Neodiprion lecontei: one gene and its partners. The protein of the gene in region 3 binds, or shares a complex with, the protein of the main gene of each other region. Links are inferred from orthologs where the notes say so. Each region holds a gene or a part of one and is shown on either strand. Other genes may lie near its edges.

Region 1 (10,262 bases), on a different chromosome or scaffold from region 3:
TTACGATTTATACGTGGATTCCTTCGTCAATTATCAGAGGGGGAATATTACGATGTCTTCAGCATTGGTAGTAGTCCTTGCATATTGCTCAGTGTATTGAGGCAAGATCATGTTTCGTGAACTTCGTTCTAACTCATTGCAAGCGTGGATAATGGATACCAAGGCACTGTACAAACGGAGCGCCGGTTTGATAATCACAGGTAGAGGATATTATATCTATGTGTGCTGGCCGCCTCTCGACGTCGCCGTAACATATCCCCCTTGCCACGCCGCTAACCCTATCATCTACTTTCCAGCTTCTCGCAATGTAACGTAATTTACACTTTTCACTTTTCAACATCCAAGAGTTACGATATTAACATATCTACATCATTATAACCAAATATACACGAAGGAAATTCTTGTACTACACATCTCACATCTACCTACCCAAGTTAAATGGAGAAATGGTTTTGTAATGCAACGATATCGCGAATTATAAATTAGCTCTCAATGGAGTGGACGGACGGGGGGAAGAATTAATATGAAAAATAAAATAAAAAATGGAATTTATAATTTCAATAACCACGAATAGTCGACAGTTCGGGAAGGATGAATTATTATAACAGGAAGTCAGGATGTCAGGAAGCTGTGATCAGCTTCTTTCCGTGGCAAAATGTTGTAATCAGTTGTTCACGTAAGAGTGTACACAGTAATTGCTTACTACTATTGGGCGCCATAGCGTGGTTGAAGCATCAAGCGACACAAACGCGGCAAGCGCAGTAGCGGGGGCATCGGGTCGTGAGAAAAATGCGCGGGAGTCCCCAGTTTTCCAATAAAATGATGATAATAATAATGATAGTAACGACAATACCGATGATGTTGATAGCAACAATAAAAATAAGTTTTCTTTAGCATCGACTGGCCGCCACGATCAACAACAGAAGCAATAATAACAGTAATACTCGAAACAGTAATGATAGTAATAATAATCATACGTATTAATGGCGTCATCGGAAGGCCGGAAAATTAACGAGCTATGTCTTGGGCCGGGTTAAGGCGAGAGCTCTATACGCTTTTATAATGCACAAATGTGAGAATTAATGTCTCGGTCAAGGGGGCGACAGCGTAGGTAAGGAAAAATAAAGATCGTTGCAACAGGAAGAGAGAAGCGAAGCGGACAGAGGAGGGAAAGAAGTCGAGTATGTGACGAGACGCGCCGGCCGGCATCTCTCACATGGCTATCGTCGTCATCAGCGCGTTGTAAACTACAATTCTACACAACTATTACTACTAATAGAAGCGTTATGTAGTTGGGTGAAATTTTTCATTACACACCAACAATGTGTGTGTAGCATCACGGGGTGACACGTATGTACACGCCGCTACGCGCATAGAGAGAGACGCTTAATACACACACGAGCGAGCGATACGCATATCGCACACAACGACGCGCGCGCGAAAGGTTCACCTACTTTTCGGAGCGAAATAGGTAGCTGCGTGTGTGTAGATGTGTACGTGTGTGCGCGCGTGCGTACGTGTGTGTGTGTGTAGTGTACAAATGTCCTCGGTTTGGCGACATATTTGATCCACGCGCGTGTTCAATTGCATGCATCACGGCGGAGCTATAGTCACGCCGCGCAGGGAGATATGGAAAATATATGGAAAAATTACGGGATTGGCACGCGGTTGTGGCGGGGATAGCGGCAAACCCCGAGCCGAGATGAAGTATTGAGGGAAAAATTTTGCAATTACGGAGCGTCCGCGTCGAGAGCGTAGATTAATTGTTGTTATGATGCTTTCGAAGCTTCGCCGATCCACCGTACTAGCTCACGTACATACATACATCTACATACTTATACGTTTAATACACAAACAGAGGGGTAGCACACAACTTACCTCGGCCGGCCTTTTCGTTCCCTTGATTTCGCATTTCGCGTCATCTGAGGTTTTTTCGTTATCAATCGCCTTCTCGACGGCAACGTCGTTATTCTCCTTGGTACTCATGACGACGGTGGTTTTTTTTTCTAATTTGGTAATTGTTAAAACGTAAGAAACTTGTGTGTCTTCGATGCCTCGATTTCGGCGTGGGACACGACACAACGACGGCGGCGTCGGTTTCCGGCGAGTGCACGAAACGCTTACGAAAGCGGAGGACTAGCGGACCTCGGAGCGGACTGAAGCGGACTACTTCACTCACTCGGCGTACCGTCCAACCTGGCTTTGTTCAAAAATGAAGATGGCGCGGGTTTGAAGCTCGATAAATCCCTGATTGGTCGATCTCTCTTCAGGCCTCGCCGCACCTGAAATGCACCGATTAATAAAGTGAATAAATTTTAACATTTCATGAGTAATTATTCAACCTTTATACCTTGCAATCAATATCTATATTGAATAAATAAAATTATTCACTTCCGCGGACGAGGGGTTTGAGAGTACGAAGCGTACTTCGGAGCCCTGGTTCGAGGCTTTGTCGCTTGATTCAAACTGGCTTTAGCGCTGCAATTCGTCGATCAAATTGTTACTCAAATTACGTCCAAAAAAGTTTTTTAACGGTATCTAAAATTCTATTTCGTAAAATAACTAAGCGGAAATAATTCAATCCTGTTAAACTTCCTGACGAGAAAAAGCCGGCTTACCTACCAAATATACGTGGGTATCGCAGCGGCACGTGATACTCTTACTCGACAGTGAATAACGTAGAGAAAAAGATTCCTATTTTATTCGTCATCGGTTCCTTGCTCGAGATATTGATCGAAAGAAGTATCGGAGGTTGAAGAGATCAGAAAACGGTGGAATATATTGGTATTAAACTCATGCGGACAAGTCTACGCAAGCGTACCGCGCAGCTAACAGGCATTTCCGGCCTGCCTCCGCTTCCTTTTTCTTCTAAACAACCAAGATGGTAGGTGAATTGTGTTTTATTTTGTGGAGTTTCATCCATCAGCATCGACTTGCAAAACGAATAGATTGATTTTCTTAATGGAATCATATCATGATCAAACCACCCGAGCACTATATTTCAATTGATATTTCTCTTCAATCGCCAGTTCGCGATCTCGTTCGAAGGGACGACATGACAGACGGTCAACATAACCTCGAAATCCCCTACTGATACTAATAAATCTTAATACGTTGTTAAAAAATCAGTTACCGACGTGGGGACTAGATAAGACGGACAATTCCAAAAATTTCATGTATTGCGCGAGGTTTTTACTGCACGTGAACATCTCATGGGGCTCTTCTGCCTGCATTTCACACAGATACCTGCATCCTGAGCTTAACAACTTTCGTTACAGGTGAACGTACCCAAACAGAGGCGCACGTTCTGCAAGAAGTGCAAGGTCCACAAGCCGCACAAAGTCACCCAATATAAGAAAAGCAAGGAAAGGCATGCGTCTCAGGGCCGAAGACGTTATGATCGTAAGCAACAAGGTTTCGGAGGTCAAACGAAGCCCATTTTCAGAAAGAAGGTACGTATTCTTATTCCATATTACTCGCTAACTTTAATTGCTCATTTGATATTTTACCACAGTTTTTTTTTTTCAAATTTAAGGTAGCTTAAAAATTCTAAAACTTTCCTAAAAAATTCTAATAAAAAAAGTGAGTAATTTTTTTTTTAACTGATGGGAACATTGGTTTTTCATTCATTTCTGGAGTTGTCATGCTTGAAGCTTCTACAGAACTGGACTAACTGATCAGTATGTCATAACCCAGAGAGCATTTTATTGATTGACGTTATTTTCCTTGCAGGCTAAGACAACCAAGAAAATTGTGCTAAGGATGGAATGCACTGAGTGCAAGTACAGAAAGCAAATCCCACTTAAACGTTGCAAACATTTCGAGCTGGGAGGTGATAAGAAGAGGAAGGTGGGTTTTTCAAAACCTAGTGCATCTAGATCGTTTTATATTCGGTGCTGAGATGTGTGGAAATTGATTCCAAACAGTTCAAACTTGTTTAAGTCTTTGTGCCATTTAAATAATCTGAAACAAGTCTCGAAATTCCATATGGTGATATTTCAAAAGCGATTGAAACATTTATCGATATTAGTCTGATGAGAGTTTGAGATATTTGTCCCTAGGAATTTTACCCACAACTAACGCACCTAAACCGAATGGAAGTAACACGCATAAAAATTAATTTAAACCAGTAACCAATTGCAGAATATTTTGTTTTCTATTTACAGGGCCAGATGATCCAGTTCTAAACCTTGCGTTTAAGATTGTAACTATACAAACAAAAAAATAAAATAAATCGTTCAAGATTTGAAATGTGTTTATTTACTAAATGGTTATATCAAACAACAATGCATATATTACGTTTTCTTTTCTTTTCTATCAACTGGGTCTGTCAAAATTTTTCCAACATGACAAATATTTTACTTCGTGAGCGCTGTGAATACTCTTTGTACCTTACTGTTTCATATGCATACTTCCTTTACTCTTCAGTTTATTATCAAGCATCATCCTCATCAGTAGTTGTATTTGTCTCAACTATTTCCGTTATTGGAACCAACTGATCAGGATTGCTGTTTGAACATCAAAGTGTGTTAAATTCTTTGTCACATATTCTGTGAATGTAGTCTTATATTCAGTATATCTTGAAACAAGACACATTTTCGAAATTCTATTCGCATCCGTAATACCTAATAAAACTATTCAAAAAGGTAATTTGAAGTAATTTTGGAACGAATATGCCGATTCCAAAATATCTGCATTTATATTCTTGAAGAAACATAAGAGATTACATGAAAGATCTTGAATAAATATTATATACTGACACAAACTGAAAAGAAGGCTACAGCAGGTCTATGAAGATTGTTTGACATTTTTGTAACAGCATTTCAGCCTATCCCAGTACATAGCCCCTTTCAAATTTTAAAACAAATTCATGTATAAATAGTCTAAATATTAAATGTTAGAAGAGTTATTTTCTGGAAATACTCACTCTAGCAAAAGTGGATCTAGACCCTCTTGTTTCATTTTCAATTTGACAGCCTGCGCAGGTACGCCAAACTGAAGCATTTTAAAGAATTTTGCATATCGTGGATCTTTACTGATGGGTTGCGTGTTACTAATTTCACTTTTTTCATCAATCAACTCAGCTTTCACCGCTTCAATCTCATTTGTCTGGTCTTGTTCCACCGTTTTCTGTTCTTGATCACTTGATTCAGTGATTGGTGAAGACTCTGTCTTTGTTGGAAAGTCAATCTCTGGTATCGACGCGAGCTGATAAAAAAGCACAGCGTCTCATTTTAATTATTCACATACATATTAAATGAAGAAAAAGTGCAAAGTCGACTTAACACTTGCGAATAGTCCCTCTGCTGTAATGTGTGATGCTGAATAAACATGTTAAGATAATTAGTAGTTTTGCTTACCCTAGATTCAAGGATTCCTAGCGACGCTTCAACTTTTTGCAATTTATTTTCAAACTCAAACAGTTTTTCCTCGCAGGATAGAGCGAACTTGTTCAAAAATGTTACTGTATGTACAATAAAATGATTAACGAACGTTATAGTTCTTTTTTGATGAATCGGCGGGACCTAAAAATAAATGTTATTCTATACGTTAGAGACTCAAAATCCAACTACACAAATTTTCGATTTCTGTTAATCTGTACAGGATGGACGCATTAAATGTTAATAATCTATTTACGTCAGCTAAAACTTTTAGACCTTACAGGTCATATGAACTTTGTTTCTGATATTTACACCATGTGTACCCAGATCAGTCCAGATCCAAGTAACTGGCAGACCCAAAATTTAGTTTCGTTGCGCTCATGACTACACATAGAAAACTAATTCTAATTGGCTGCCGAGTAATTAATAGAAGTCGGACGAGCATAGAAATTGTTGGTAGGTATAGAATCAGAAACGCGATTATCGTAGATGATTTTACGATTGATATGTAAACTAATAAAAATTTGAACTGTAGATACGAAAATTGGTGACATGGGAACCGGGGGACGAACGATATCGTGTTGTACCTTGTACGAAGGACTAATTAGGATAAAATTAACTAACCTTAGTAAAGTCAACGGTAGGTTCGATCATCGGAATCCCATAATCGTTCATGTTGCACAGTTTGCTAAGAAGAGAGTGAAATATTGTACAATGTAACCTAGAGTCTCCTAAAGTGACGACTTCTGATGGTCAACTGATTTCTGACATTTCTCCATTTGACGTACGATTTGACGTTTCGTTCCGAGGGACCCTCTAGCAGACACTGACAGAGTCACCCACGCTTGATGACAAATTTACGCGCTGAATTTGAGTAGAGTACATAACCAAGATTCACTCTTTGCGCGCTAACCCTAATAATGCACGTTGCCTGAAGAATATTCTTCAGTCAACGTAATACATCAACCAACACATTGAATTCGTTTTTAACACACAATGAATGGAATTCGAAACGGCGGATTTTGTTATCATAACCACCTCCGCGGTGTTAGTCGAAAGAATACACCGCACATTTCCCACCGCACAAAACAAATACCCAAATACATCAACATATCTACGTACGACTATTTTTGCACATTTCCTAATTGACTATGACAAAGTTATAGTGTTTGAAGGTGCAGAAAGTGCAGTTCAACTTTTCTCTTCAATCGGCTCGACTCATTGTACCTTTATTGTTAAAAACGCTTCTGTACCACAAAATCTAATTGACAATTATCGTCGATATTAATGCATTATACGTATAATATAGTTGTGTGTATAACTTATAAAACTACAATAGATTGTTCTTAATCCCTATAAACTTCCGCATAAACTAAATTTGCATGCTTGAAATATCACAGACATATTATGATACATGTGCAGTGTTCTTTGATGCTCTTCTAACCGGATTTAATTGTGCTTGTCAAATAATATACACTGTAACCGGATATTTTTATATTTGAGGGTATAAACAATATAACGATAATTGGTTACCCTACGGCGCAGTCGCTAACCTAAATAATTAGATAGAGAGAGATACTAAGGGAGAAAGATACAATTGTTGGGCGCCAGACGCACATGCGTCAAAAATAGATAATTAGAGAAAAAGACAACGATAAAGATAAAGGTAATAGATAAAGGTAAGGTCAGGTTCTACGACGGTTTTGCACAGTTCGCTCAGAGAGACAAGATAATGGTAGAGGGGCGGAGTCGAATCCAATAGATAAAATAAGAAACAGGTGAAGCAGGAATAATATCAAATATATTAAACAAGAAGCGATAAGTTTACTGACAAGCAAGTAGCGGAAGAGTTTGCGATACAAATACGATATATGCGATAATTAACAATAGTTACAGCCAGAGAAAGGTTAAGCGAGAGAGTTAACAATTAACGGAACGTTTTCCGAATAAGCGGGAAATATGAGCAAGCTCGCGATATTAAAGGTAATGATTAACACGGTTCTATGACAGGTAGGCAGAACAGAAGAGATACACTGTACTTAAATTAAGCGGTAAGCAAATAAATCATAAAATGTGAGAAGCGATTATAACTCATGCGAAATACAACAATTGAAATAGTTATCACATTACCAGAATGATCAGAAATAGGCAGACAGGGAATTATGAATTACAAGGTAAATTCAAGCGATAGGTCAAATAGAAAATTATTATAAAATATAGAGAATAAAAGATAATACGTAGTCTCTGGTTTGCGGTAAGTGCGAGAGAAAGAAAGATAATAATCGGTACGATAAAAGGTAATTCAAGATAAGGCAAACAATATTCAAGGTAATTAATATGCCACGTACGGCAAACCCAATAGACTACGGACAACTACGATCAGCGATATAAGCGAAGAAAATAGTGAAAAAGATGTTATGCGATATGGCACAATACTCCAATGTCAAATGAACGACGAACGGGACCGCGCAGCGATATAAGATCGCTCCCGCGGTACTCTCACTAAGATGCGATAATCAACGATAATAGATAAAGAGACAGATAGAAACTAATCAGAGAAAATATAACAAAATAGTAATGCTCAGTAGCTAAGATAAAAATTGATCCTTTAACGGAACGCGCTGCTAGACAGCGATATTAGACATTCAAATATTCTAAAAGAGAAAGATAATAAGATAAAGCGATAGTCACTACAATGCGTAAGTAATAATCAACCAGTCGCGAAGTTACTTGCAATAAGACAGAGAAAGGGACAAGATAAGAGATAATAAGGTACGAGCCCAGGTGGCTCAAGCAGACCAACTGCAAGGTAAAGAGAAAAGATACGAGCCCAATTGGCTCAAGCAGACCAACTGCAAGGTAAAGAGAGAAAGAGATAAAGGTAAAGGTACGATATATTGCAAGTAATCTCGTGGCTTCACAAAATAGCAAAGGAACCTCACTTACGTAAAAGAAGATATAGTAGATACTACAGGATGCGGTACACTAGCGATAAACTTAATACAATGATAGCCAAAAAAAAAACTCTATTACAGATATCGAGAACACGTCTTTCTTAATTGACAACTGAACGTAGAGTAATGAGATGAGCGATGATCCTGATTTTCATCGAGCTGGTGTCACGTGATTCTTCCCAAAATTTGCGGTATCTTAATTGGACCAGCTGGTCCCGTGGCCTGGTCCACGGATAGGCGGCGATAATCCCTCGCCGTTTGATGTTCTTTTCCCTCGACGACGGGTATCGAGGTATCAGGACGTCGGAAGGTGGTTAGAGATGTTTTCCTGCAGCTATGCGGTATCGTTGGTGAGAAGGGGGTGGGGTCGTACTGCTCAGGTATTGCGATATTGATGTGTGCGGCAATGTTACGTCACCGGTCTCCTGGACTTGCGACAGACTGTAACTCACTCCTTGTTTTACTGGTACTCCCCGTTGTAGCTATTTCGTCGGCGCTGCATCCCGGCCCTCGCTCATGGAAGCCCTCATGCCGGAACGATCTGGTGGTGATGGCCCTCAACCCGGATCCCCACACTAGATCCACCAGATCCACGTGGTCAGCATATCATTAGCCTATTCCACGCCGCAGTCCTTCGATAAGACGGTTCGTTAAGAGAAAACCGTCTTCTATTGTATAGTCAACGACTTAGTAGATATTAGGGTCGGTTCAGCTCCAGGCTGATAAGTATCGTCGACGGGAGGCTTCATTGTGTTTTTGACGCACAGCCCTGTACGCCGCCTGACGATGCATCCGAGCGGTAGAAACATTCGTTCGTGGTTCGGCTCCTGGCCGATAAGTCTCAAATAGTTGGAGGTGCTGTTGTGCATCACGCACGACCCTTTTCGACAACTAGATAGGCATCCATCGGGAGTGGTTTCAGCGGTATTCGTTCGTCTGTAGTCGGTGGTGTTGATGTTGAGCTGGTACTTGACCCCTGTCAGGAAGTGTACTGGTACCTTGACGTGAAGGTCTCGCGGATGGTTCTCGAAGAGCATTACAGAATTAGAAAATAGCATACAATTAGCTTAGTAAAGGGAAATCAACTTAAAGATAATTAGTCGTTCATTTTTGGAGTATTGGCCTCAGACGTGCTTTCGTTATTTTTAGCGATATTTGTACCTAGAGGAATGCGATAATTAAATAAAGTGACGGGGTACGAAATACCACGTCACAACTCCCCCCTCCTTACGGAGGACCGAGGAGGTCCTTTGCCATTAGGAAACCATTATGTTGACTACTTACTTTTGCATGTGACTAGATGATCGTTAGAGATGTTAGAGATAGTTGCGATAGATAGGATTGAAATGGAAAATCCATGCGATACTTGACTTAGTTGAGAGACTTTGGAGTACGGCCTGCTGATTCTTGGCGAAACATAGTTTTCCAAGTTCTACTGTTGACCTGATCGGTTGTGAGTGAAGGAAGCGAAAGGATGAGCTAAATTTTTGCGAGAAGGTAGAGAGTTGATTGATTCGATTGCTTGGTTGAAGGGTGTTGTTGCAGAGGAGTTCAGACAATTTAGGCGGCAGAGAGCGATATTGAAATTTTGGCCTCATGTGAGGTATTATTCTGGGTAAAGCGACCAAAAAAAAATTGTTAAGCGTTATTTTTAAGATAATTGCGATAAAAGGAGTTTTGACCTCAAGTTGTTACTGCGTCAGGTGACTAGGTGTGGCGACGATGTTGTTGATGATTTCAAGGTCGAGTGGGGTTTTAATTGTTGGACGTCATTTTGTAACCAATTTACGAGAGGGGGTTAATTGATCCCGTAACGATGAATATGACAGAATTCAGGAGTGGATCGTGGGCGCACCGTGAGTGATCGGATATAGGTGATAAGACGGTTCACTGTTACTATAGCACGAGAAAATAATTGTGTAGCGGT
Region 2 (9,514 bases), on a different chromosome or scaffold from region 3:
TAGCAGATGAAAAATTCATGATTTCCAGTGGTTTTATAAATATTATTCGGTCATGTAATGTTGCCAACTAATATTATTAACACTAATTGGTAACACTTCAGTAAAATCGCATAACAGTCACACAGGCTGAAATTCACCCTAGCTCCAAAAGTGATATCCTGCTTCAACAATGAGTTCTAAAAATCTAATAAAAATATCCAGGTATTGATTAAGGGTCGCAGAAAAAGATCTCTTAGTTTTTCCCAATCACAATTGATTGTTTAAATATTGTAAAACATCGGCAAAGTTATGATACTAAAGGACTCTACGAGAAGTTTGAATAATGTGTTTGGTGATATTCACCCCAAGTGACTAATTAGAGTTAGTTCGAGCATTTCACAGCTAGCTTAAACATTCAAAAACATACTGCGCTGGTCTAACTTGTACCTTTTTCTTCTAAAACTGTAATTCTTCTCAAAAATTTTCCTCTTCCAGATTTTTTCTCGTATTTATGACTTATATTTATACATACAAACTACACGATCACATTCTAAGATAGTGAAATTACATCTCTGAATTTTTTGAGGTAGATTGGACTCATACATTCGACAGGTAACACGTCAAAAATGGAACAGGGTCATTTTGAACCAGAGTGTTCTTCATAATCCAAAAAATAAGTTAGTTGTCGAATGGTTAAAGTTAATATAGTGACGGTAAGTAAAAATTATCTCTCCGTAGATATGGTGCTGACCTGAACTTGCCAAAACGTCTTTGGGATAGCAATAGCCACATAGGTCAACCTGCGTCATCCAGCAGTAGATAAGAACACGAAATATCAAAACGCGTGCGTTAATTAGCGGTAGGCAAACATCAAATCGAAAGACTGGACTTAAAAATCAGCTGCAATAATGTTTAACAGTTAGAGAACAGTGCTATGAGACGGTTAACGTAGAGTATATGTGCCAAACGTTAAACGAGAAACCTGCAAGTGAGATATTTTCACATGGTTCATAGGCACAAATGGCCTCGACGAAGAAAAATTTAAGGTATAAACAAGAAAAACGTACAAGTGCTTAACGTTTAAATGAGGTTTTACTGTATCAGTAAACAGTAAATAGAAAATGTGGAATTTTTGACAAGAAGTTAAAAAATAATTGAACTCAATGGGAACTGCAGTTGAGATATGGATTCAAGGTTAAGAAAAAAAACCTCATTTCACCAATAACATGGTTCTTACTTTTTGACCGTGTGTGTGTCAATTTTCAGTGGACATAATTCACAACGTTTTTACGATTTTTTTTTAGAAATTATCAATGCGAAATATTACCATTTTTTACTAATAAAATGAGTATTGAGCAATATCAGGAAGTGAGAATAATACCTTCGAAAAAAGGGGTTTCAATTTGGTAACCATCGGTGGATCCTTTTTAATACACTCCTGCATGATGCTTATGAAAGACTCCATAATGTTCCATGCGTAGCTACAGTCTGTTACGATGTTTAAGGCGATCATTACATCCTCAGTTATGCTACTGGTGCGAAGCATACGCTGCAGTATATCACGAGTGTCAGCGAGGTACTGAGATATATGTAGATTATGCTCCAATTGATGAAACTCTGTAAGTTTATGTTACAACAATCTCTGAACAATTAACAAAAAACCATAGACAATCAACTTGCCTTGAACTTCTTCCAGGGCCTGAAACAGCTGCACTATCTTTCTTCCCTCGTCTTGCTGTAGGGAATCAACGTGTTTTCCTATCTCTTTGAACCATATCTGCAAGCATTCGTTCTTTTCTACCCCATCTAGCGGCCTGTTTCCACTGAACACTTCTGCCAAACCAGAAATACGTTCAACGCAAATCTCTTTGTGACGAGTCCAAATTGTTTCTTTGTCAGTCAGCAGCTGCGTAGGTGTTCAAGTATAGTTAGTATTAAAACAAAATGTAAAGATAACAAAGTGACTATCTGACAAAGCAGTTAAGGCAACTAATTTTTTCATGATGCGCTTTCTTTAAAACTCTACATTAGTATTACAGTGTCTAAGTATAAGGAAATGGATGGAGGAAATGGCACCAGCTGCAGTATATCTATTCGCTTCAATCTCACCTTGCATTGCATAAAATAATGCTGTGTAGAAAATTAATACTCACTAAAAGAACATTGAATTTACTGGATATTTCAATTTTTTAAAAGCCGAGGCCAGAGTTTATAACCACAAATCTACTTAAGAACCCCAGCATCTGCTGTGCTTAAACCGAATAGACAAACTGTAAAGTTGGACATCTTCAAAGTGAAAAGATTCACAAGTAGAATAAATATGACCTAGCAAATCCTTCCGTACAATTTCATTATCCTCGAATGCCTTTAAAATATCATTTCACACCTACTTAGTTTATTTGGGAAATTTATTTTCAATCTGACTTCACTTCACTCTATTGTACAATGTACAACATTTCAAAGATGCTGAATGTTCCACTAAGTAGAAGTAGACTGGTGTAAAATAAAGTGCAGGATGAAAATTATAACTGAGATATTTCATTTCTTCAATAACCATTATTTGAAATAATACGCGCCATTAACATGTCTCACCTGTTTGTACATCTGTTTAACATCTTGCTCTAGTTGAGCAGTATTAAGCAAAAGCCAGAGACATTCAATGGCGATGTATTTGGATTCCTGTATAACGAGTTGGCGGATACTCCGCGATCGTTTGGATCCTTCGCTGAACATACCAGGCATTGAGGTGTGGAGAAGGATCCAATGAAGAGTAACATTACAGTCACGAACAAGCTTGACAGTATTTCCGATTGCATTTTCCTCCACTCTTTTGGTTAATTGGAATTCTTTGGTATCGGCTACCTGTTTCTGAAAATCACAGGTAGAAACTTACTCAACATTTTTTGTTAGCATTGAATTTTGTTAGAAGAATAACGTACAGACATCGTATGCATACCTTTAACTTCTGCCCATACTTTTGAGCAATTTGTTTCACGTTTGAAACCTCAAACGTGTTATTGAGAGCATTTTTTGCAGCTTTATATGGCTCCCACCAGTCCCACAAGTTCAGGACTAGCCCCATGTATATACTGATCACCCAATTATCCGGAAAAAATCTATCGACTGTTTCTCTCATTATCGAAGTTTGAGAGTGAAGCGTAGACGGGCTGAAGGCTAGAGCCACGACTAGCATAGCAGCCTGACTGGCTAGCGCCATGCTCCGATGTTCTGGATAAGGAAAAGCCAGACTTTGATTGTATATTTCGTCCGAGCGAAGGCGACTTATTACGAGATCAACAAGAAGAGTGTTGAGCGGAATTCGTCTGTATACGAAAAAATTATTTTGTGAGTTTTTAACCTAGAATTTTGTGAATGTTCAATTCAAATCAAAGAGGGAAAATATTACTTAAAATATGCTTCCGGATAGTTTGCAGGGCGTTTGAAAGGTGCATTGCTAAATCCTGTTGATCTGAGTAGGACACAAACATCATCTACCCTTGTCGTTGATATATGCTGTACATTGTATCGGTAGTAGGAAACAAGCAGCCGTTCTCGAATTGGTCCTTCGAAGTGCAGATCAACCAACAAAAGCATGACTCCGTACAAATACACTGCCTCACACTGCGATACAAGGACGATTTCAATATTATTGCTCAGTTTGCTACATCATGTACGATCATGAGTGGGAAAGCAAATAGTTTTTGAAATTTTTTATCAGGGATTACGAAAGGTTTGAATTTTTATATTCTTGATCTTTGTCTGGCTGTTTATTGCGGGCAACCAACTGCGTCCAGGAATGAAAAACATCGCTCGTTTCGTGAAATTCGGAATTAACAGAAACTTTTGCTTTCAACAATTTACTGTATCAGATATTTCTATGTGAAACAGATGTGAGTTCAAAGTAATTTCTGCAATCCTGCTTTCGTCTTTCATATTCGATATATGAATTACTACTTTTTTCTCAAGTAAATCATGGAATTTTAGTTGTAGAAAAGAGATCAGAATAAATATTTTGTATAAAGATTGTTATATTATTACAAACTATGATCAATTTTAGACACTCAAAAGATTCTCCGACTTCTCTAGTAAACAGGAAATTTCTTTGAAGTGGGATAGCTTAAAAAGTCGTTTTTGATTTCTTTGTTCTGAAGAGAATTTCAAAAAAAGAACATGCTATAATAATCTGATGAAGTGAAGTTGTTTGCAAATCGAGTCATAACACATTCAAAAAATTGTAGCGCAGTTTGAAAAAGTTGACACAGCTGAAAGCTGTTCAGCATAGTATCCATTGGAATTAACATTCTTAATCACCAGGAATAATTCCTCCATCATTCCAAAATGTCACATGAAAATATGCTTCAGACAAAATTAAATCACATATGTTTTAAAAATAATATTCAGAATTGAGTTCATGCAGCAATATAACCTTGCTTTGGAATACAGCAGAAAGCTAACGACTATTGGAACTTAAATTACATTATATCTCTAATGAGTAAGCATCTTTTTTGCAAATATTTTTAAATAAAATTCTCTCCTTTTTTGCGACCACTATCCGCATATTTGGTTGATTAACTTCCTTAATATCGAGTAAACAAAGCTGACCAGACACATACAATATGTCCATACCATCAACTGCTTTCCTTCTTCACTGAGCATTATTGTTTCGATAGATTGCTGTATGTATATTCCATCCTCCAATTCTTCGGTAAAAGCATTCAAATCGGTAACATACTTGTGAATGCTTTCAAAAGCCAAATAAAATCTAGTCAGAATATCTGAAAATGTATCACGCATCTCTTCGTCCAGTTCCTGCGATACCTGGGTTTGTCAGACCATTTGGTTAGTGAGTAAACTATTATATTCTGATATAATACATCCATCTATAGCTTCGATTACAATTTTGACTCACAGAATCGTTTTCTATTTTATGCTCATACGCATCGGCAGCCTTGAAATAGGAGAAGTCCAAGATGATTTGGCTGTAACGTTGATCCGCCTGCCTATAAATTGGTGTAAGGGACAAGTTATGATAGTGAGATTGACGGACGTTTATAGAATAATGAATACCTCATTTGCAGTTTGACACCTCAGTGAGAACTTAATGTGGATGTATTATTTATGTGAATTGGAAATTGCTGAAGGTGTTCCATATGAGCATGACCATCGTGATATCGTTTTACATGCATATGCAGAATGACGATATGAGAATGAAGAGGTATAAACGAACAGAGAATACTAACCTAAAAATTGGCGGCACGTAATCCTTTAGCCGCATCAATTCAGCTATAATAGCATTTCCACGCGAAACAAGCTGTAAAATATTCTGGCCGCATCCGTTATTCAATGCCAGAAAGTCCCCCATTTTAGAGACAGGTTAATCTGTTGAACCTTTTGACGAGACACTCCACTTACAATTAAATAGACCACGTCAAAACATTAGTTTTCTGCTTTGCGGACTCATTGCAGCAAAGTCGGATAGAGTGCGTGAGCATGATTGCATTGTTGCAGGCGTTATAGATGCAAACTGTCCGCCTTATTAGCGACCTATTAATATACCTCGGGATATTCAAATACATTAATTATAACCTTAATTATAACTTACCGACTCATGTCTCAAATTCAACGTCAAAATGAACTTAGCCGACGTTGCGAGATTTTTCAGCTAACAAATTTTGCATTTTGCTGATTTATTTTCAAAATCACGTGCACTTACTTCAAATTTTGATTGCTGTTTTATTAGTACTAAGATCTTTACCTAAGAATTTGGAATCCCTTTAGATTTGCTGACCTTTTAAATTATCTCTTACAACTATTATTGACGCGGCTGAAGCTATCAACCAGAATTAGCAACCAAACGTTCTAATATTCATTCAAATAAGGTAATAAAGTGCAATAATCGAAATTTTTTTAAAACGTTGAACCCCCAATACTTTTATAGAATTATGAGGATAAAACTGAACTGCATGTTTCTATTTCGAAAAAAGTTTAACACCTCCATTAAAATTTGCTTTATAATAGTCAAAATATAATATGACAGAGCAAAATGAAATGAAGAGGAAAATATTTCAAATTAGACGCAGGTTGTAGTTTGTACAATAAAATTCGATTCTGGCGATAATTTTACTATCTTAAGAACTAATCTCAAATCCAACGCAGTAAATAAAACTAACAATGGGTGCTGATCAAAATATCAGGTCGAAGTTTGAGAACTTGAGGCCATTTCTTTGTAATTTCCATCGTCAAGTATAGTATAGTATAACCTGACTTTCGTTAACAATTTTTGACTTCAACCCAGTTCTGTTACAGCTAACAATAAGTGTAACGAGTTCTCTTAATTTCACCAGATTTTATTTAGAACTAATTGAATTCTCTGTGTCTGGAAGTCAGTACTATTTAAGTACTAGTTAAGAAAACGCTAAAACGATCGTTATGCATGTACGAAAATAATAATAACGAGTTATTCAGTCAAACTCTCCTTTCGGAGTTTTATAGGTACATATTTGTTTTAGCCACCATACATAATCCTACTTTTTCATCATATGACAATGTTCAATAAAAATCTGAATGCATAAATCCTTGCCGTATTTCATTTCTGCTCCCAACCACCCTGTAGATGCAATTATCTATGTAACCAGCTGCCTTAGATCACAAAAACTTCTCCAGTTTTTCATTTTGTTCTTCAATTTCTTTCGTTGATCTATAATTATTTTTTCTTCTGAGCGCATTTCGTATCCCATTTCTCATTGGGGTGCGCTAAAAATCGGTACTATAGTCTTCCCTTATCTCTCAAGCATCCAGTTAAACGCTTCCTTTAGGTACGTATATCGAGAATTATCAAGTTGCTTGTTATAAAAATGGCGCTTGCCCTCCCACCTGTCCATCCGACCCGCGCTAACACGCACAAGGCATTCTGTGCTATTCCTCGAATACTTCTTCCAATTGTGAACTCGAGTCTCGTCTTCAGTGATGTGTCCAGTTTCTGTTTAACTTTCTGACCTCTCGGTGAACTCTGCCAACTCTGCCATTTGATCCCGTAATGCAGTAATTTCGTCCCTTATCTACTGCATCGTGGTCAACATCTGCCTAAGCATTGAGACATTTATTTGCAAACCGAACACCTTTCTGACCGACACATTTTTGATTCAGCTGAATTTTTTTTACTGGTTTTACATCGAAAAAAAGAGATACGTATTCGAGGATTTTTTTTTCACATATTTTAGAAAATAGATGGGGTCGAAAATTTGAGAATCTGGTGATTTTCGGCGGGGAGACTCATTTTAAAAAATTCATAGCTCCAGTTCTATTTGAGCTAGATAGTTCTCTTTTTCATTTTAAAGCTAAAAGAATGAAATGTAATAAAAACATAGGTTCATTGAAAATTATTAATAAATGCATATTGTTATAAATAATTAAAATGTTTAAATCGATCTTTAACTCACCTCGTAGCGAGTTCTTAGTATAACCTTCGTATTCTACGTCAAATTCTTGATCAAAAAAGCATTTTTGAATGATGGAGAAATTATTGTTACTGTTGAAAAAAAATTAATTTATCTACCGCGGCACATTATATCGGCGCGCGGATTCCATTGCACGCCTCATTTTCTTGCCTCGTATCGTTTTTCTCTGTAATATAAATATAAATGATTATTCTATATTGTTGATAAAATAATATTATTTATTAGTAAATAAGACTTTATAAAAGATTGAACAAAAAAATAAAGACAATTTTTTTTTTATCTTTTTAATTCTGAAAAAAAATCATACCTTGAAAACCAGATCCCGGCCCATGATGAATTTTACACAAGTTTTTGAACAGTAAGAAAGGAATATGCTCTGAAATTTTTGTCGAAAGAAATTATGCCGCTTTTGAGAAATCTCAGAAACTAATATTCTTTGAGCTTTTACGGGGTTTCAGCGGCCACGATACCTTTTGCATAATTTAGCGCTGAAGTTCACTCAAAACTGAAACTTTTTCATATGCAACTTTTTTTTATACAATCAATAGCTTACGAGTAATACTTAATTACACTTCGGACGTTTCCGATTTCCGCAGATATTATACCGAATGCTAACGTCTAATAATAAGTGTTATGGAGTAAAAATCTAAAAAAAATCACAAACACTCTCGACAAGTAACAGAAAGTTTTCACGAATTTTAAACAGATTCGAAGAGACTTTTCCGCAGGTCAATCTGACGTGGAAAGCCACATATATATTATATATTGTTCTTCTTTGCTAATAAATAATATTGTTTAATTAAAAATATAGAATTAGCATTTATATTGCATATACAAACGATACGAAGCAAGAAAATGAGGCGTGCAATGGAATCCGCGCGGCGATGTGACGTGCCGCGCTAGATAAATTAATTTTTTTCCAATAGTAATAACAATTTATCCATCAACTAAAAATGCCTTTTTGATCGAAAATTTTACGTGGAATACGATGTTTATACTAAGAGCGCGCTACGCGGTGGGATGAATTGTTAAAAATCGAGTTAAACATTTTAATTGTTTATAACAATATAAATTTGCTGATAATTTTCAACGAAACTGTTTTTTCATCGAAATTCAGTCTTTTCACGTTAAATCGGCCGTTTTAACTCCGAAAATTATGAAACAAATCATAAATCTAACAGAACATATCTGCGCACATATCAAGGATTTTTTCAGATTTTTCGGTAGCAAACTCGAGCGTCTGAAAATTCTTGAACATTTGTATGAGTGGTGTATATATGACAGTTCAGGACCACACAATGGCGCGCATCCTCCTAGCTCCCCCCCTAGCCCCCCGTTCCCCTAAATCCGCGGTGCTGCCCCCTCCCCTAAAACCGCGGCGCTACCCCCCCAGGATTTGACACACACACACACACAAAATAATTCCTGTCGAGATTTGTTTGGCGCCGGAAAGCCGTGCATAAATCGGATAGGGTAAAAACCCGCTAGATCTATTGAAAAAATTCCAGGAAATGACCCCTGAAGGAAGGTTTAAAATGGCGTTTTGAATGCTTTTAACAATTTTTTTATTCAACATCAATTACACTTAGTTTTCTTATTCTATTCTAAATTATCTTATTCTAAATTTTAACGAGTGAAATTATACATACATAATATTTTCAATATCCATATTAATTGAACATATTATTATTCCAAAACTGACTTATACCAATTTTTTTACAGTACCACTAATCGGATTATATTCAACAATGCGGTCATGCAAGATCATGCAGTAGGCAGAAGTGTGTGGTGGGAACGTGATGCTAGAGTCAAATTCCAATCAAATGTCCACAGGTCCAATTTTTAATGTTTTGTCCTGCTTGGAGCAATCGATGACGATAAGGGGAGCTTGGTTTATAAATTCACGCTTCGATAGCAAAGGCTCAGCTTCTGTGGTTTTTGTGGAACGCATGCGCCTTACTTCCAAAATTTGAGTGCGGTCAATCGCGACGTCCAGAACAGTCTGGTCATGATCGTTTACATGACCTTCAGGGAGGCCCGTGATAATGAGATCAGAGGCGTGTAGAGCGCATTCCAGC
Region 3 (11,812 bases):
AACTTGATTGGAAAATTCACCCTTGAGTAGTAGATGCAGTCACCGACACCACCATGATAGTAGCTTGCGTTAAGAACTGCTGCAGCTTCTCATTGTTCTTAGCTCGATCCAAATCATTCCCTAATTCACAAACTGTCATGACATACTCCAATGGACCAACTACCAGCGACTCCAGCTCAGGAAATCTTTTGGAGTACTTATCCCTTGTAAATCTATGAATGATTGCTGAAAAATTAGGGACCTATACATATTGGCAAAATTTGGTATCCGTTAAAACTTGTCACATTGCCCTAACCAGAACCTACTTTTTGACTGGCAATTACAAAATGAACCACCCATTGAGCGTGTTAAAGCTGTTGCAATCTGCGGGAAACTTACCAATTTCATCGTCGATATCGACGGCAATATTGTTTGCCTCGACGATGAGCTGATACTCAGGGTCGGATTCAACCGGACCTACGATGTCGGCTGACTTTCTTGGTATTTTGCCATAGCTGTCTATGAGAGAAACGACTTTCTGGAGCTGCGGAGAGTCGCGCAATTTTGCGAGTTCTCGAACGGAAGCAACTTTGACCTCTGTAATAAAGTATCGAATTTAATGTGAAGTCTGAATTATCCGGTAACTGATATGTATATGCAACAAAGACCGTGGATAGTAAACCTGACCTTCTTCAATCGTCTTAGCAACGGCTGCAGGTGGAATAAATTCCGGCTCAGCCTCTTCCATAAACTTGTCCGCGTCATCGTTTTCCTCCAAATCGGCCAGCAGCTCGTCAGCCAAAGACATCTTGGATTAATTGGGAAGTTTATTTCAAGAGGTATGTACTTGGAGGATTCTGCAACTTCAACCTCAATTCCTAAACTTCTTCCATCCTAATCTGAGCAACCTTTTTGTTTACGTCTCACCAAGTCTCGCGCGACGTTGCTGTGCTCAACCCGCGAAGTAATACTATTCGTGGCTCAACCGTTTATCATAAACAGAGGTTAATGGTGCCAATAGCCAATGCCCACTGTGTGTATTTAAAAATGGCCGATTTCACGTTGTTCCTGTATTTAGCTACAGATGGCTGCAGAGACAAGCGAATAACTTGAATGAACCAAAGAACGAACATTCTGTCACTTTGAAGTTTGGCGGCAGGTAACAATCAGGAAGTATTTAGATCTAGAACCCAGTTAGGCACGCCCTAAAGTAATTTCGAACCACAGTCCCTGTCCAGGAATTTCCGCAAATGAATCAGACATGTCCGGTTCAAAGGTGAATAAGCATTGAATACAGAAAACAGTCATAATAGATCCAAACTTATCACGTGCCACAGTCATCTCACAAATTTTCAAATTCGTTAGAATTTACAGAAGAATAAAGGTAGTCGGATGTCATGGTCCTTTGACTGTGACGTGAGTGAGCGAGATGTGGTGACACCTGCGAAGCGACCGAAAATAGAAACAGAAGTACCGTCCCTAGACCGAGTGTCACGAACGATTGATATTTATGACAAAAAAACACATATAAACAGCTTACCGGCTCTTCTCAAAGCTTGCGAACCTCAAGAAGCCTCAGAGTTATCTATTAGCCGACAAAAACAAAGAGAAATATACGATTGGTTGGAATATAAAACTATCAAGAGCAAGCCATGCGCTTTGATTCTCTCTGGTCCTTCGGGTTGTGGAAAAACCGTTAGCTTTAAACTACTTGCCAAAGAGAAGGAGTTTGAATGTGTCGAATGGATCACACCGGCTGATCAAGGCGCGGATGAAAATAGTAGGTTGATCAATACTGTCGATAGCATAAAAGACATTTATTTTCAATGATTAAAAATAGGAGAAACACTTGATGTTGATGATAAATACTCCTTAAATAATTTACTACCTCTTCTCATAGATAGATTCACGAGGCAAGGAGACAAATTTCAAGATTTTATGGTCAGAACTACAAGATACGGTTCTCTCTTTGAAGATTGTTGCAGACGCCTACTACTCGTTAAGGATTTTCCAAATGTTTACTTCAACGATAAAGATGCCTTTCACACACTCCTCGAGTGAGTCTGTGTTCCAGATTTTGCATTATGTATGTTGAATTCAAGTATGACGGTTATAATTATTTATCAGGCAATACTTTGGGACGGGCAAAGAACCAGTTGTATTTATTTGCACTGATTCAGGGGGCATGGGAGCGCTGCAAACCTTATTTCCACCAAATGTCAGGGAAAAATTTGGTATTTGTCATATCAGGTGAGGCTCTCGTGATGAAATTGACATTTCATGTGGTTTTGTAGCACTAGAAAAATATTCTATAATGATATATCACTCTTCACTGTAATCAACTCGTTGAATTTGACTGTATTGCTTTGCAGCATAAATCCAGTCACACAAGCGGTCACGAAGAATATTTTGAAGAGAGTTTCACTAGTCTTTAACACCAGAGCCTCTCACATGGTACACGTGTCTCAACATATCGTAGAAGAAATATTATCCAACAATATCGGAGATATTAGGAGCACTGTTATTAACCTCATATTCGCTTCTCTGAAAGGTTTTTACGTACAGCCTTTTCATAGCACTTTACACAGCTTTATATACAGCTGCTGGATTTAGCTCCAATGTTATTCAATGTACGTATGCTTTTAGTACCTAATAGACAAATCGATTGCGAAGGAAGAGGTCGTGGAGAATCTTTAAGCCTACTTCATGCCATCGGTCGAGTAACTAATCCCAAACGTAAGTTATAGTTCATTTTCAGAAGTAAATCGAAAAACATCTTGTAGAATTATATGCTATGTGAATTATGAGCTACATCACAAGTTTAAATTAATCTTCCGTTCAAAGTAACGTGAAGTTCCGAAAATACCGATTTTTTGATTATCCAGTACTTGGTAGTCATTTAAATTTTCAGGTCTAGTCGAAGGAAATTCATGGAAGTTTGTACATGACCCAGATGAAATTGCGTACTTCTTTCAAACTCAACCATCTACGTTCGCGCGGTTTTTACATGAAAATCATTTGAATACCACAAGAGGAATCGAAGAAGCTACTGCAGCCACTGATATACTTAGCATTTCAGATTGTCTTATATCTGATTGGAGGGTATGTGGATTACATTCCAAAGTGATATGTAAATAATATGTGATGTAAGTTGTATGACAATGAAAAAATTTCAGGACTCGCATTTGGGCAGACTTGGACTCTCGTTTTGTATCCGTGGAATAATGATTACCAACAATGATCCTGTGCCGGGTTGGAATCCAGTAAGAAAACCACGTAATGACGAAAAAATGTGTGTATAGCTGGGCATGGTTATAGTTTCGAATTCGATATGTGGAAATGAATGTTTTCATTGTTATTTCCAGCTGCAGGGATCTCGCATCCACTGAAACCCTCTGGTACAAATCGCTGATCAGCCCTAAATTAGCCTTGACAATAACATTCAAGGGGCTTGGAAATTAAAGGATATACATTTTAAAATACCAAGATTTTTCACGACCCGAAAACAAATTGCCGATACCACGTGTTTCGTCAATGATCATTTTCCAATTATATTTTGTTCAGATATTATTATTTTTTTATTTAAACGGCTATTTCTAGATACGTTTCATACAGAGACTGTGAACAAGCTCGACTAAGAGCCCGTTGAATTATTGTAACAGCTGCACAAAGACGACTGGTTAATAAATGATCTTATCGAAAATTTGCTTCACACTTGACCCTGGTTACAGCTTGACGACATTTGACCCTTGTTTCACCACGGTTTGATGTGGGTGTGATTCTTATCTGGTGACACGCAGCGTTGGTTGCCTAGATCGTGATTTATATGGGCGTCATTGGGCGTGCGCAACAAACGGGTTGTCCTGTTATCGTTCCGACCAAAGAGTTTACTAATACTCTTCGGTTTCCGACAGTCTGTCTAACCTTCAAATCCGCCAGTGGAAATTGACATCGGTAAACTAACCTACAATGTATACGCCGGACGCGGAGGAGAAGCGTAATGGACGGCAAAACTGACAACTGACTGATATTGATAGTGTGAAATTGCGTAGGGAAAAAATCCGCACCGTTAACATGATAGACTCAATATCGTGGAACAGTGCGAGGGATGAGGCAATTCATCGAACGGTCGGAGAAGCGCAGCTAAAAAAGTATGGTAACTTTTTTAACAAATCAATCGAGGATTCAGGCTGGGTTCCTGACACATCTCTGAAATACGTCATCCAAGGGCCGATCCATCTCGTTTACAACCCCCGCGAGGACATTACCATAATGGACATGGTAGAAATGGAGAACAAAACATTGGCCAAGCTTCTCGCGGCGGTCGCGGGTACTTGCAGGGAAATCAGACTACTGAAAATCGAAGGTAATAAATTCTACCAGAGGCTACTCACCCAGGGCGAACGATGCAGTGTTGACGAAAAGGGGGACGACGTCAATGTCTTGTTATCAATTCTGCAGGACCTGTCAGCATACGTCAAACGGGTATCGCTTGTCGCAAATTTGACCATCCAGCAGCTGTCGAATCTGACGGGCAATGCCTATGATATATACTTTCCGCTGGTCATTGAACATCTGGTTGACTTATTTGTAATATTTGTAACTCTAGATGAGATCATCGTTGCTCAACCTTCGCTACTCGATACTTGGGATCAGTACTGCGTCCGCGCTAGCACAATGCTCCACAATTCTGAGCAATTCAATATACCTGGCTCAAAGTTACGTACTTTTGAAAAGCTGCTGAAAGATCTGCGCCATCAACTTTTGGCTAACAATTTATTTCTCGGAGCTATCGACAGGGCGATGGATGTGAAAAAAAGCCCAATAATGCAGAATCACTTCGCTTGTTACCTGAAAAATACTATGCTGGATGTGGAAAAGAAAGCCAGTGACAATTTATTGTTTAACAAAAACTGGATACGTACAAATGTAGGGGTCGTCGTCATTGTCAAATTGTTCGGAACTGTAGATAAGAAGATTTTTAAGAGGCTTTGCGAAATGAATAAAAAATACTACTCTATTACTCTGATTGGCAATATTATCTGGATTCCAAATAAATTTTTGGCCAATTCAGTCCCAAAAGAATTTGGCTTGGTAGTCGGTTCGCAAGCCGGGGAAAAGATCCTTGCCTCTAAGATCCAAAGATTGCCAGAAGTCACAAATTCCCTGGCTAGAAGGGCGACCCAGTGGTCAGTCGAGATGCAGAACATTATCGTGCATCCTGTTGAGAAATTTCACCAATCTGATCTGGAAAGAAGGTGCTGTATGCTTATTGAGTTTGTAATCCTGGTGCAGCAGGTAAAAGAGAATATATTTTTCACCACTAATCTTCACGCTGCTCTGCTAAAACCAATGAGCCGAAACATTGTCCAGCTTGTATGCAGACTCATAGAAATGCAGAAGTCACTTGAAACAACGTTTTACACTTTCGGCTCAGTCATTATTCAGTCCCAGAGCCATGTTATCCAGCATCTCTGTTATCAAATATTGGTCATCCTCGAAACGGCCAAGAGAGGACTGATGCTTAGCAAGGACAAAGGATACAGCAGGGAGCAGCTCGATACTATGACATTGATAGGCCTTGGTATGAGACTAATGAACGGTCCCCCGACAGACGACAGGAGGCTGATAACACGCTGCGCTCTGGCAGCTGCTAGCCAACTGACAGACAGCTTCAAAGAGGAAGAACTAATCAAATTGAGGGGATATCTGGACGCCTACGATACTATCGCAGAATTACATGACCTGGTTAGGCAGGCTTGCGATTACTCTAGCGTACTCTATCATCGAAGCATGCTGCCCGCTTACTTGAGCATGGTCATAGATGGCAACTCAGATATAAGTCGGATTGTTCATTTACTCGGTGCACTAAATAGTGCAGTAGCGGATCACGAGCCTCCCAACTCCGTGGGAAGCAGAAATAAAGAGCATAGGGAAATGCTAGTGAAAAATGTGCTAGAACCAGCCTGTCACGAGATTGAAACCAGCCTGAGGTTACACGTTCACGCGCATCTCAAGCTGGATGACTCGAATCCATTCAAGATTGGTGCTGTTAATTCCAACAGGATAGTCAGAGCCTCTCCACTGCCTGTTGCTGATAATTTCTTAAGCCCAAAGAGGTTCATCGAACATTATTTGGACAGCATGTTTTACAATCTCACCACCGTGGCTCTACATGACTGGAGGACGTACGGAACAATGCGGAGATTAGCTGGCTATAAACTGAATCTAGAAATGGTTCAGGATCATTTACCAACACAGAATTTGGAACAGGGTTTAGATGCGCTTGAAATAATGAGAAATATAGACACATTCGTTGCCAAATACTTGTACAACTTAAATACACAGACTTTCATAGAGCGTACTAGTTCTAATAAATATCTGAACACAATCGGGATAAGGCACATAGCGAACTCGATCAGAACCCATGGCAATGGAATAATGAGCACTACAGTGAATTTCGTCTATCAATTTCTCCGTGCGAAGCTACACACATTTTCACAATTCCTATTTGATGAACATATAAAATCACGATTAATACGAGATATCAGATTCATCAAATTACAGAGAGAGAGCAGGGCGACTCCTTATACATATGAGAGAGCTGAGAAGTTTCAGAAGGGTATACGCAAGCTTGGAATGACGACGGATGGTCTCAGTTATCTAGATCAATTTAGGATTCTGGTATCTCAAATAGGGAATGCCCTTGGTTACGTTAGACTGATTCGGTCTGGGGGTTTGGACGCTTGTTCCAACGCGATTGCTTTTCTTCCCACAATTAATTCTGACACTGTGTTTGAGTCGACATGTAAGAAGCTGGACTTTACAATAACTACACAAGCTGCCGGAAAGCGGCTCGACGATGACATTGCAAATTTAGTGCAAAGCTTCACGGAAGGAACACAATACTTCAGACTACTGGTAGATGTATTCGCTTCTGCATTCCGCGATACAAAAAACGTCCACTTACAACAATTTTACGCCATCATTCCTCCACTCACACTCAGTTATGTCGATAATGCTCTGGGAAACAAAGAGAAAATGTCTAAAAAGAATAAGACCGGGGCAGCATTCACCGACGATGGATTTGCAATGGGAGTCGCATACATTAACGCCCTTCTTGATCAGAACACGGAAATAGACGGACTTCAGTGGTTCAAAACCGTCGAGGAACAAATGACTCGAGAAAGAATAGCGGCGCAGCATAAAGACGATTGTGGCGACGAAAAATTACAACAGACTAGAGCTTTAACATTAAAATGTCTGGCAGAAAGAAATGCTGAGTTTCAACTTCTCTATTATAGCCTTTCGGGCGCGCGAGTATTCTTCAAGCAGCCGGATACGTCTTCTCTCTGAGTCATTAGCTATAAGTTTTAATGTTAAATTTGAAAAACACGTTTGAATATTATAACCAAGCGTATAATAGGGACTTTCATAACAAGCATATAATACCATGCTCTGTATTACGAAATATACAATTTTTAAGTAACTCAAATAAACGGCTAAGTTTATACTGATACTAGTTTCAGTTTGTCCTTCAAATGTGTCATCTCACCTTGGTACAAAACTAGCACACTGTGGGTATCAGGTTTTCCATAAGTGTGACTTCAATTTCTGTCGCGCAATTTTTTTATTGGTATGTCTGACGAATTTCAACGTCTTTGCTATATTTTTCTTACTTATAAACTGTACTAAAGTAACAGTATTATCGGTAGTATAATACATTCGACGATTGGTAGACAGATAAATGACTAGATATGCCGATCAGAAGAGATTACATTGCTTTTACAATCCTAATATTGAACAGTTCTCTGATAAGCACACGGAATGATATTGAAACGAGGATGGTTACGGTTTATCTTGAGGCACGAATTCAAAGCTAATCGTTTGGAGTTATTAGCTTCTGCCGCGGGACTAACCCCAAGTAGTTCATTTTATGCATTAAGTAGGTATTAAATTTGATTCCTGAATAACTACGCAATCCGTAAAGGGTCCTTTGTGAGGTAAATTTTCATTTGATTCCAGAGAAATGAAATTCGACGACTAAATATCTCTGATTTGATTACGTGTAAGAGCTACCAGATCCTTGAAGTGTATCCAGGGTATTGACTATTTCCAACAATATCTCTTCACCTCAATAATTACCAAGTTTTTTGTGATTATAGCGACAATATAAGTATACGTTGGGTTATTATTTTAATATAGCTTGTTGAGGATTCCATTTGCTTGCATTGTTATATTTTCTTTCACTGATTCTCTCCTACTTGCGTGACTAGAATCTTTGCTTTTCTTCAAAAACCAGTAACATTACTACTTTTTTTCTACACCACATACATTTCTAACCTGAATATTATTCAATCTGGTCAGGATAACGATGTTGACTAGAGATTATAACTCTGTTCCTTTCAAGGAAGTACTGGAGAACAGGCGGAAGCCTAGTTTTGAGATCTGGATACTTCCTCAGATTCCAAAAGGTCGTCACACGATGGTGTGGGTGGTAGCAGCTGTCTTCCACCACGTTTCTTACTCCGTGTAAACACCTTGGTGAGCTGGGCGAATTTACGCCGCGAAACTGTAACAGTATGTGAAAAAGTATTTAAAAGTTTAGACGCTTCTTTGGCAAAGCAGGCCTCAGCTTCAGTTTATTGAATAAATCCCGTTTCTCAATACCTTTACCCATATTTCGTAATCTTTCTTTGAATAAATCCTCATCGTCGTGGCTTACTGTGCCTGCAGATTTCTCACATTCGTCTAATTTAGTATCTACAAAAAAAACAAAAATAATGGTCGGATTAATCAGTATCAGACACGGCGTACATTTGCTCTTCTTTATAATTTGCCTGACTCATCGACTGACCGCTGGCCAAGGTGGAAAGAAAATCTTCATTCCACCTCAGTTCTGCCATGAATTCTTCGTTTTGAAGAAAGATTGCAATACGTTCGTCCTCCAGTGTGGAGCCTTCTAATGCGCCGCCAGGCTCCGGCATTTCGCAGCTCTCGCTCCACTGCCTGGGAAGCCTCAGAAATGTGTCTGGCAACGGACCTAGCAAGGGAGGCTGCCACTTGTGAATAGTCTTCAGCGACTTGCAAGGCTCGATTTTAGCCTGATTATCTTCAGATGAATCTTCGCTCTGCTCAATCTCACTTCTGATCTTTTCATTCTCGTTGTCCGTGCTCATTGCCAGTAGCTGATCGATAGTTGTGTCAACTGCACCCTGGTTCGAACGTAACACAGCCTGGAAAAAGATATGAGCTAAGTTTAAAATATTCTGTATGTATTTATTTCAAATATACGTGGAGGTGTTGGGTGTAAACAAGGTGGTACCTCGATAACGTCATCGTCCATCTGTGGAAACATGTTTTTGAAGTCAGCCATTGCCTGGTAAAATTCCAGGGTAGTCTGTTGCTGTTCTGCAGCAGACGCCATGGCAAAGATGCGCTCTCTTACTTTTGCATTACCAACGCTGCGACGGTCGAGCGATTATAGCCTTTGTTGTATCACGTGGAGCGGTGACTTCGTCGCAAACAATAATATCCATTTTGAAATATTTTTCGCACGTATAACGCACACACATACGTACTCCCCGCGACACGGAGCACTTCTAATTTGCCGATGCCGCGATTGCTCCGACCCAGTGCAAACTATTGTATATTGCCCGGCGCCCTGCTGATATCCTCATAGGATTTCCAACCCCAATACGCAGAAAGATCTCGCATTCTGGCATAATAAAGAACTCATCATCATCACTTTACCCGGATTACAAACGAGCTGCTGTTATGACAGTTGCGCATCCCTCTCAAATCGACTCGGCTCTTCGGTTCGGCTTCGACTGCCCGCTCATGCCCGCTGCCACCCGCTGCTGCACGCTCTAACTGCTGCTAGCGTGAAGTAAGTAGTTACGTACACGGTGCTGCCAAGGTGCGGGCATGGTAACTAGAGGTGAGGAGTCCGAACGCAATGCTAGCCAAATGGTCGGTGAAAGTGATGAACGATCCGCGGATTGTAACCGCCTGGCGGCGCTACCACTGCGGGCATCGTCAGCGCGGTGATTTTTGAATCGTCGATCCTCACGTATGTATCCTATTCGTAACCAGGCGCTGATATCGCTTGAGGATACATCCCGAACTACAAGATCTTTCATCACTGTGCGTTCGGACTCCTTTACTCTAGTCCAGCCCCCTGAACTCACCACTGCTCGTATACTAAAAAATTGTACGTGTTTTGTCCCCGTTTTTTAGTTCCTCTACGTGGCGCTAGTAGATTTCTGACACGCTCGCTGCCCTCGCTGACCACGCGCGAGCTTGTCAGACAACTACTAGCGCCACTAGTGGTGGAGATTGGCGGCAGAATCGAGGGACATTTTGCGAACCGCTTTTAGCAGCGTGTATCAGGGGGCTGCTCTAGTCTTCATGGTGCGGGGTTCCTAAATAAATAGTACCGCAAATCGCCAAAAATCGGCGCACAGGTAGCCAAATGTAGCCAGTTTCCCAACTAACAAGTAACCCCTAGGACCCCTAGGCTGTAGCGAAACGAAATTTTGCTACCAGGGCGTCTCAACCACGGAGTAGTATGTCTCAAATCGAACAATTGGCGGATATAAAAATATGACGATAAAGATGAAGAAAGGTCTATTCTGAATTATAATTGTATCATTTTATCGGACATATCAGAATCTCCCCTTTTCTATTCTAACTACACATTTACGTTTTAAATTGAATGCAGAACCGATCATAAAACGATTCCCGGTAATCTACATCCAATTGTATGAAGGACTTCGGAAAACACCAGAATAAAAAATGGACAAATTATTACGTACCTACATTTATTATCTCTTAAAACGCTTGTACTTATAGTTTTTCTTTTCGATCAAGGCATATAATATATAAGCCCTATTGAAAATTATTCAGTGATGCCGGTATGCTGCGAGCAGTGACCAAAAGTTATCTATTTTGCAGTTTCAATTACGCCATATTTATTCTAAAATCATGCCCTATTTATCATCTTCGCGGTTTTATATCGAGTATATGCTGACCTAAGTGATTCACATAGCGGTTTCCCGTGACTAGGAAGATAATTGTGAGTGTAAATATTCGTTAATTTGATGTACAAAGTCGGTTGAAATAATTGAAATAACCTCACGATGGCCGTTGCCCGGTTTTATTAGCGAAAGATAGACATTTTATTCGAGATTTACTCGGGTTTTGAATATACCGTACAGAACAAAGATCAGAATATCTTCATGCAATTTTGAGAGAAAGTCGGTAACAAATAAAGTGCATTCAATTGGCATTCGTTATCTATGCTTGTCAACGTCCTATTTCGTGGTCAACGGATTTTGGCGGGATTCGTGACTTATACTGTGGGGTTCGAGTCGTACAAACAACAGACAATCGGTATAAAATTTTTCTCTCTTCCCTCCAATTTAACGGACGGGTCTTGGCGTGCCGTTACGGTATGGTTGTTATTTCTCGTTATTAAAGTGAAAGAAATATGAAAAGTAGCCGCGAATATTCAGATTTACATCTGCAATTTGTCGTGTGAAGGGATTCGGAGCGCAGAGATAAACACATAGCAGTTAATCGGCACCGCGAAGTCGTTTAGGCTGTGAAGAAATTCACAGTCAATTTTCATTCGTTGCCAGCTAAACTCAAGTAACAATCGAAATTATTTTCGCAAGTTCTAATCCTCTGTTCTCGATCGCCTCATTAAAATGTAGTGACGTTAGATCTTAGCAAGTGCAGCGCGTAATTTAAAGACCGCGTTTATTCTATTTGCGGGGTGAAAAATTATGGTGGGTTCTCCATCGATGATATTCTTTGTCGCGTCAAGCAG

The links. The genes of interacting proteins can lie anywhere in the genome.
Region 1: WASH complex subunit 4 (region 3) and WASH complex subunit 3 share a complex: the UniProt entries of both Drosophila melanogaster proteins name them as parts of the WASH complex. The link is inferred for Neodiprion lecontei from reciprocal best matches to the Drosophila melanogaster genes SWIP and CCDC53.
Region 2: WASH complex subunit 4 (region 3) and WASH complex subunit 5 share a complex: the UniProt entries of both Drosophila melanogaster proteins name them as parts of the WASH complex. The link is inferred for Neodiprion lecontei from reciprocal best matches to the Drosophila melanogaster genes SWIP and Strump.

What each region holds. Positions count from the first base shown.
Region 1 is NC_060262.1:41,778,747-41,789,008, forward strand, and holds the start of WASH complex subunit 3, read right to left. Parts: upstream 6,213-10,262; 5' UTR 6,057-6,212; coding exon 6,006-6,056; intron 5,526-6,005; coding exon 5,361-5,525; intron 5,209-5,360; coding exon 4,928-5,208; intron 4,848-4,927; coding exon of another isoform or gene 4,829-4,847; exon of another isoform or gene 4,761-4,828; intron 4,509-4,760; coding exon 4,436-4,508; 3' UTR 4,188-4,435; coding exon of another isoform or gene 4,167-4,187; 3' UTR 3,850-4,166; coding exon of another isoform or gene 3,733-3,849; 3' UTR 3,453-3,732; coding exon of another isoform or gene 3,279-3,452; 3' UTR 2,885-3,278; coding exon of another isoform or gene 2,882-2,884; 3' UTR 2,351-2,881; intron 2,283-2,350; 3' UTR 1,879-2,282; intron 1-1,878. Other genes in the region: 60S ribosomal protein L44, read left to right, coding at 2,882-2,884, 3,279-3,452, 3,733-3,849, 4,167-4,187. UniProt on the Drosophila melanogaster protein: Acts at least in part as component of the WASH complex which may regulate wash nucleation-promoting factor (NPF) activity and is required for its membrane targeting during endosomal sorting.
Region 2 is NC_060261.1:22,757,746-22,767,259, reverse strand, and holds the start of WASH complex subunit 5, read right to left. Parts: upstream 5,436-9,514; 5' UTR 5,342-5,435; coding exon 5,220-5,341; intron 4,980-5,219; coding exon 4,889-4,979; intron 4,798-4,888; coding exon 4,606-4,797; intron 3,601-4,605; coding exon 3,386-3,600; intron 3,303-3,385; coding exon 2,936-3,302; intron 2,848-2,935; coding exon 2,572-2,847; intron 1,886-2,571; coding exon 1,660-1,885; intron 1,597-1,659; coding exon 1,361-1,596; intron 1,358-1,360; exon of another isoform or gene 1,284-1,357; intron 1,026-1,283; exon of another isoform or gene 587-1,025; intron 1-586. Other genes in the region: uncharacterized protein LOC124293002, read right to left, coding at 9,256-9,514. UniProt on the Drosophila melanogaster protein: Acts at least in part as component of the WASH complex which may regulate wash nucleation-promoting factor (NPF) activity and is required for its membrane targeting during endosomal sorting.
Region 3 is NC_060263.1:181,950-193,761, reverse strand, and holds WASH complex subunit 4, read left to right. Parts: upstream 1-3,727; 5' UTR 3,728-4,053; coding exon 4,054-7,335; 3' UTR 7,336-8,262; downstream 8,263-11,812. Other genes in the region: U4/U6 small nuclear ribonucleoprotein Prp31, read right to left, coding at 21-225, 379-576, 667-787; cell cycle checkpoint protein RAD17, read left to right, coding at 1,241-1,255, 1,345-1,759, 1,880-2,036, 2,107-2,229, 2,352-2,530, 2,626-2,715, 2,891-3,081, 3,156-3,271 and 1 more; CUE domain-containing protein 1, read right to left, coding at 8,415-8,551, 8,650-8,742, 8,837-9,215, 9,305-9,406. UniProt on the Drosophila melanogaster protein: Acts at least in part as component of the WASH complex which may regulate wash nucleation-promoting factor (NPF) activity and is required for its membrane targeting during endosomal sorting.